Linked DNA regions of Ovis aries. The protein of the gene in region 2 interacts with the protein of the main gene of each other region in a pairwise test. Links are inferred from orthologs where the notes say so. Each region holds a gene or a part of one and is shown on either strand. Other genes may lie near its edges.

Evidence for each region.
Region 1: the proteins of LRP2 (region 2) and MAPK8IP2 interact in a two-hybrid assay, tested with the Homo sapiens proteins (2 studies listed by BioGRID). The link is inferred for Ovis aries from reciprocal best matches to the Homo sapiens genes LRP2 and MAPK8IP2.

What each region holds. Positions count from the first base shown.
Region 1 is NC_056056.1:225,848,156-225,852,231, forward strand, and holds the start of MAPK8IP2 (C-Jun-amino-terminal kinase-interacting protein 2), read left to right. Parts: upstream 1-1,261; 5' UTR 1,262-1,268; coding exon 1,269-1,333; intron 1,334-2,293; coding exon 2,294-2,399; intron 2,400-3,696; coding exon 3,697-3,981; intron 3,982-4,076. UniProt on the Homo sapiens protein: The JNK-interacting protein (JIP) group of scaffold proteins selectively mediates JNK signaling by aggregating specific components of the MAPK cascade to form a functional JNK signaling module.
Region 2 is NC_056055.1:140,232,281-140,235,839, reverse strand, and holds part of LRP2 (low-density lipoprotein receptor-related protein 2), read right to left. Parts: coding exon 3,513-3,559; intron 2,877-3,512; coding exon 2,581-2,876; intron 943-2,580; coding exon 426-942; intron 1-425. UniProt on the Homo sapiens protein: Multiligand endocytic receptor. Acts together with CUBN to mediate endocytosis of high-density lipoproteins. Mediates receptor-mediated uptake of polybasic drugs such as aprotinin, aminoglycosides and polymyxin B.

The DNA.
Region 1 (4,076 bases), on a different chromosome or scaffold from region 2:
AAAAATTTAGACAAAGAATGTCAGGATACATAATTTCCATCAAGGCAAAGAAAAGAACGATTTCATTGCAACCTTGTTGAAACTCCAGCCTCTTTCTATAGCCCAATCTTCTCCGTAAAGTCTCCCTAACCTGGTCCTCCAACCTGTCTTTAATAACCATACTCACGACTCCGACCTGTCCTTCCCCCATTGCAGCACCAGCTGATCCTCACCCCTTGAGCTGAGTGTCAACCATTTCTCTCCACACACAGCTCCACAAAAGCCAGAACATGCTGGTTACCTAGTTGGTGCTCAAGAAAGTTTTCCTAATTGAATGAAGAGAGCCTCAGGGTTATAACTTCACCTGATGTCCATCAATACCTGGTATCCAGCCTGCGCAATCTGTACTGTGTACTGAAATTCCATGTGGGCCCCAGTCAACATCCTCTGTGTGGTAAACTCTGTCCAGACGGGATCAGCGCCCCTTGGGCAGATGCCTCTGTCCAGCACCGCTCAGCACCCTCTGGGGGAACAGCTCCTCCAGCTCTGATCAGCACTCGGCGGGGAAACAGCTCCTGCAGCCCCAGGCCGCACGTTTTAGGGAGACATCTCTGTGGGCCAGTCAGCACCCCTTGTGGGACAGCTCCGACCAGCCCTGGTCAGCACCCAGACGTGGACAGCTCCTCCGGCCCCGTTCGCGCACAGCCCACACTGTCAGTCTGAACCACTCGGATCCGGGCTTGGGAACCCCAGGCTTCTGCTCTGATTCCCTGGAAGTTAGCGCAGCTCCCGGGGCCGCACCCACCCCTCCATGAGGCCCCGTCCCCCCCACCCCCACACCAGCTAACCAGGGGTCTGCAAATCGACTTTCCCATCGCCAGTTCCTCGCTGAAGCTCTCACCACGCGAACTGATGCCCCATCCCCACCAGATTGCTTCCCACCTGCCCCCACCCCAAAGAACCAAGCCACACACGCGCCTCTCCAACCCGAGCCTCAGTCAAACCATCTCGCCTCCTCCAACCAGCTTCCCCGCCGTCCCCTCCGCCCTCCCCCGGCCCGCCCTCCTCCCCTCCCCCGGCCCGCCCTGCTCCCGGTCCCCCCGCCCCCGGCTCGCGCTGCCGCGGTGTCCTGGCGTCGAGGTGTGCTGGCGGCGGGGTGTCGCAGGGCGTGTCACGAGGTGACCGGGGGCGGGCTGAGGACGGGCGGGCGGGAGCGACGGAGGGCGCGCGGGGCTGGCGCTCCGGGCACCCCTCCCCCGCCGCGGTCGGCAGGCCTTTCCCCGGAGAAGATGGCGGATCGGGCGGAGATGTTTTCTCTTTCCACCTTCCACTCGCTGTCGCCGCCAGGCTGCAGGTACGCACTCGGGCGCCCGGGCCCTTCCCTGCCCACCGCTCCCCCTCTGACCCCGCCCCAGACTCCGCCGGCCCGACCCTGCCACCCCACCCCCAACGCCTTTGGGGGCCGGAGCCCCAGACCCTCTCAGGTCCCGAGGCCCACTTGCTCCCCATCCCCCACTCCTGGTTCCAGGCCTCTCCACTTTGTCCTCCCCTTACGACCCTCCTCCAGCCCCAGTGACCATCCCCCACCCCAGATTCCTGACGGGACCCGGTGCTGCACCCAACCTGAGCCTCTCCTCCAAAGGCGGAGGTCATGGGCCGAGCCTGAGGGGCAGCCTGCCTGCGGGGTGCTGAGCACACACTCTGCCTGGCAGTGTCCTTTTTGGCCTTGCTGGGCCTCTGGTGGAGGCCTGGCCTGGTCTGCAGGGCTCAGGGAAGAGAATTGCAATCAAGCCTGGAGCCTGGGGGAAGGGACTAGGGTGGGGAAAGGGCTGAACCTTGGGATGTAGGCCGGTCTTGGGCAGGAATAGCGGATAGAGGGGCTGAATTCTGCTCCGGAGCAGGCTCGACCCCTCCCCCTCCCCCTCCCCCAGCTGCTGCAGCTTCAGTCCCCCTCCCCCTTCTCGGCTCAGCCTGACTCCCCTGAGGCTGAGGCTGTGACCCAGAGGGGCCTGGAGCTGAGCGCAGTGGGAGGAGAGGCTGCTGGCTCTGATGAGGGGACTGGGAGGAGGGCTGGGGGCAAGTGCTTCCTCAGGGCAGGCGGTGGCTCCAGTTGTGGGGGAAATGCCCTGGAGAGCAGGGCTTAAGCTTCAGGATAATGGCAGGATGCCTGTGTGGGAGTTGGGGGCTCTGGAGATCGTGGGGTCGAGGAGCTGGGGTGGGGGGCTCCCTTGGCCCCTCCTTAGGACCAGCTCTCAGACAGGGAGTCCAGGACTGACGGCTCTCTCAGGAGCCCTGTCCTTGCTCTCCTCTCCAGGCCTCCTCAGGACATAAGCCTGGAGGAATTTGACGATGAAGATCTGTCTGAGATCACTGATGACTGCGGTCTGGGCCTCAGCTATGACTCGGACCACTGCGAGAAGGTGGGGAGAGGGCTGGGGCAGAGAACTCTCTCACAGGAGAGCCTCACTTAGCTTTTGCTCAGCGGTCTCTGGGGAGGGTCTAAGCTCAGCCTTGAGAGGATCCTCTCAGTGCCCCCTCTCCCTTGGCCTCTTGACTTGTGGGCCCCTCGATACCTGACCCCTCTCTTCCTAAGAGCGGCCCACTGAGGACCTTCCCCAGCGTTCCTGCCTGGCTTCCTCCATGGGCTGGACTTGGGGAGGGAAGAAGTGCCTCTGCTTTGGGCCCTCTGGCCTCAGATCTACCCCCTTCCAGCTGCCATCTCATCTCCTTCTCAGTCCTGTCCCCACCTCTCTAGCCTCTCTTAGCCTCCTGTCTCCTCCCCTGAAGTTCCCCTTCCCCCATCTCCTCCTCCTCCCTGGCTCTTCACGTTTTTGTTTTCATTCAAGAACATTTCTGAGCAACTCCCGTGTGGCAAGTGCTAGAGGCTTGCAGGTGCCTGGGAAGACAGCAGGACAGGTGTGGCTCTTGCCCTTGGGAGCTTATAACCTAGTAGGGGAGGAAGACAGGTGAGAGACAATGGGTGCCTGAGCCTCAGCATCTGGGTTCCAATGAGGGGACACATGGCCCACCCGAGACTGAGGCCATTAGGGAGATTTTCTAGTGGAAATGCAGGGCCATGCCCTTAGGGAAGACTAGCAGGAGCTGGCAGATGAGGGCAGTGTACCGGAGGGGATGGAGCAGAGGAATTGCTGGCGGGGGATTAGTGGATTGCAGGCCCTGAGGTTGGTGCAAGTCTGGTGAAACCTGGTGCTGGGCCTCTTTGCTTCACGCGTTCATTTGATCTTTACTGAGCTTTTATGTGGGCCAGGGCCTGTTCTCGGTGGGGGTCGGGGTACCGCAGTGTACAATATGGACATGTCCCTGTCCTGGTGGGGCTTGCAGCTTGCTGGGGAGACAGATGCAAACTCTACGGTTAATTATGAGTTGTGTTAAAATGCTGTGAAGGAAAAAGTACTGGTGTTAAATGTGATGGGATTTGAGGGTGGGATGAGGTTGGCAGGTGGGTTGGGGCCTCTTTGAGAATCTGTCACTGAGACTTAGGAGTTTGGGCTCTTATTTACCAAGATCCTTATGTATCTTAAGCTGATTTTAAAAAAAGCAAAAATCAAAAACTGCTCTGTTGATGGAGAGCAGAGTGGTCTGGAGGGAGGTTTCCCCCCTTGACTTGTGGCTTCCTGCTTTCACCTTTCCTGGCACCTGGGACCCCAGGCCGCTGTCCTGCTGCAGCCCAGCTCTGCCCTGTCCTTCTTCCTGCAGGACAGCCTTGCCCTGGGGCGTTCGGAGCAGCCGCACCCCATCTGCTCCTTCCAGGATGACTTCCAGGAGTTCGAGATGATTGACGACAATGAAGAGGAGGAGGAAGAAGAGGAGGAGGAGGACGAGGAGGAGGAGGACGAGGAGGAAGGAGAGGGGGAGGGCAAGGAGGGAGGAGGCCCTGGCTCAGAGACCCCTGCCCCGGAGCCCCTGATCCCCTCCCCTTCCCTAGAGGAGCCTCACAAGCATCGACCTACCACCCTCCACCTGACAACGCTTGGAGCCCAGGTGAGCTCCCAGGCCCAGAGCTCCCCCTGGTTCCCGGCGTGGGGGGCTCTGGTGCCCACGGCCACCTGCCCCCTCCTGCCCGCGAGGACAGGGGC
Region 2 (3,559 bases):
GTAGCCTGTGAATTCCAGGAAAGCAGGGGCTGTGTCTGTCTTGTTTACCTCCAAACCCCAGTCCCTAGAATAGCATCGCACTTAGGCAACAGCTTTAAATGACTGAACCAACCAAAGCATGAATCATCCCTTCACATACCTCCAGTAATAACAGAGCTCTTTCTTCCTTTGTGATGTGCCCCCCCATAAAATTCATACCATAAATTCTTAAAAGTCACTAGATTTTAGATTTTGTGGTATCCCATTTGATTATTAGGTACACACCAGAAAACAGCAACAACAAAAACAAACCATGCCGAAGCATTAAAGTGTTTCTACCTGGCAACCCAAGTGGGAAAGATCAATTCCCTATTAAGATGAAAGCCTGGCTAGAACACTTTTTCAGAAACAAAAACTTGTTAACTTTTAAATAGCTTTTTTCTTACCTGGTAACCCAGTCGACAGCCAGACTTTCCGCACCTGGTAGATTGTGCTTTAGGACTGTCTCCCTGTTTGTCTTATTCACAAACATTCTCTCAATGACTTTATTCTCTATATCAAGCCAGTACAATCTCTTTTCTACTCGGTCAAAATCCAATGCCACAACATTACCCAATCCTTGCAAGATGAGGGAGTATAAATTGTCATAGATAGTTAGATTTCTCAAATAGTAACGGTTGCTAAAAATGAGATCAGGCTCGATGTTGCTGTTCTGCCGACAGGTCTTTCCATCTGGCTCACGGATGTAGCCTGGGGCACATTTGCAGATGTAAGTGCCAGGTAAGTTCTCACACTTTTGGCTACAGATGAAGGGCGTCTCCTTGCATTCATCAATATCAACACAAGTCCTCTTGTCAGACAACAGCTTGTAACCAGGGTTACAAGAACAATAGAAACTGGTTAAGGTGTCTGTGCAGTTTTGGTTACAACCACTGAGCGTAGGGTCATTGCACTCATTAATGCCTGTAAGGTAAAAGACAGTTATCAGAGAACCTAAGTTGTCAGTAATGGACCCACCATAATGGTCAAAAAAGTCAGCCTTCCCGCTGGACAGATGCAGTTCTTTTTTTTGGTTGGGTTTGGACCGAGCCAAGTTCTTAAGCAACAGTTAGAACTGGACATGGAACAACAGACTGGTTCCAAACAGGAAAAGGAGTAGGTCAAGGCTGTATATTGTCACTCTGCTTATTTAACTTCTATGCAGAGTACATCATGAGAAACGGTGGACTGGAAGAAGCACAAGCTGGAATCAAGATTGCTCGGAGAAATATCAATAACCTCACATATGCAGATGACACCACCCTTATGGCAGAAAGTGAAGAGGAACTAAAAAGCCTCTTGGTGAAAGTGAAAGTGGAGAGTGAAAAAGTTGGCCTAAAGCTCAACATTCAGAAAACGAAGATCATGGCATCTGGTCCCATCACTTCATGGCAAATAGATGGGGAAACAGTGTCAGACTATTTTTGGGCTCCAAAATCACTGTAGATGGTGACTGCACCCATGAAATTAAAAGATGCTTACTCCTTGGAAGAAAAGTTATGACCAACCTAGATAGCATATTCAAAAGCAGAGACATTACTTTGCCAACAAAGGTCCGTCTAGTCAAGGCTATGGTTGGTTTTTCCTGTGGTCATGTTGGATGTGAGAGTTGGACTGTGAAGAAGGCTGAGTGCTGAAGAATTGATGCGTTCGAACTGTGGTGTTAAGAGAAGACTCTTGAGAGTCCCTTGGACTGCAAGGAGATCCAACCAGTCCATTCTGAAGGAGATCAGCCCTGGGATTTCTTTGGAAGGATGATGCTAAAGCTGAAACTCCAGTACTGTGGCCACCTCAGGCGAAGAGTTGACTCATTGGAAAACACTCTGATGCTGGGAGAGATTGGGGGCAGGAGGAGAAGGGGACGACAGAGGATGAGATGGCTGGATGGCATCACGGACTCGATGGACGTGAGTCTGAGTGAACTCTGGGAGTTGGTGATGGCCAGGGAGGCCTGGTGTGCTGCGATTCATGGGGTCGCAAAGAGTCGGACACGACTGAGCAACTGAACTGAACTGAACTGAAGTTCTTAATGAATCATGCTAAAAAAGACAAATAAACAGGGACATAAAAAGGGATTTCTAAAGGCCCTACATTATTCAAAAGTCACTCTTACTCAACTTCCTTCCTGGATCCTTCACCAATAGTTTTAACAACTAGTACAACCAGGGTGGGGTTAGGGGCACGGTGGGAGGGGGACTTCCAGTTAAACCTTCCCCTTTAGTCACCTCAGGATGAAAATTAAGAACAGATTAAGGAATGTAGGAGGGGCAGTTAAAGCAACAAGTCATTGCATGATCACCACTGTCTGCTCTTAGATAGATGGCCTTAATTTGTTTATCTCCTATTCTCTACAATGAATGACTAACTGATGATTAGTCGAAAAATGTGTGTGACCGACCTTATAGACCAAGAAATCCTTGCTTCTTCATAGACAAACAGCAGTAATTTTCTGGCAGTGTGCTACTTAGAGAACCAACTGAAAGGTCCTACTAAGTCAGAAAGGGTTGAGAATCCACGTTCAGTCCCCCCATTTCCTTTTCCCTAATTTTCCATTATACTCACCACATCCTTTCTCATCACTGCTGTCTAAGCAGTCAGGGAAGTGGTTACAGACTTTCACCATCTCAATGCAGTTCCCATTGTCACACCTGAACTGATGAGGGGGACATGTGGTCTCTGGGGTGTGACAGAGGTGCTCCAGCTCATCAGAGTTATCTCTACAGTCATTGTCCCCATCACAGACATAGGCCTTATTAATGCAGAGTCCGTTCTGACACGTAAAAAGGGTCTCGCCGCAGGTAGGGTACACACAGCCCCTCTCATCACTGTAGTCACCACAGTCATTGTTCCGGTCACACCTGTGTCATGAGACCCAGTACCACTTAAAATCAGAATATTTCAGGTGAAAATCCAGATCCCCAGTTTCTCTCCAAACACATGATGCTGACTGGTGTCTGTGTCTCTTAGCTGGAGCACACACCCACAGTGTACCTCACCTGCCTCTCTCTGTTGTCAGGCTGACCCTGAGCCACAGCATGCAGCCCCATTTATCATCCTGCTCACTGGTACTTTTCTTATAGCAGAAAGAATTGAATGAAGTATTTCTTACGCCCATGCCTCTATTCCAGGTGGCAAACCCTGAGCGTCAGCTGCCTCAAGAAAGAATTTTCTTCTACTAAGCCCACTTCACTCATCTCTCTGATCTTCTGTGCAAGGTCACGTTATGACCTTCATGGACCCCAGGCACTTCTGTTTTCATGGGCCCCTTCCTCCATAAAAATATTTAAAATTATATTTAAGGACTACGTTGGTATAAAGCCATATATATTATTATTTAGTATGTAAATATTTTCTTTGAAGTTCTCTTTATTTTTTTTCTTTTGATTTTAAAAGAAGTCCAAACATTTTCAGAGGCCATGAAAAGTATCATGGGCCCCAGCCCTGCCTCATGGACATTTAAGGTTTGTTAATAAGTTTTTTAATCCCCAATTCACCTGAAGTGGTTGGGGATACACAAGCCATTGTTACAGACGAACTCTGT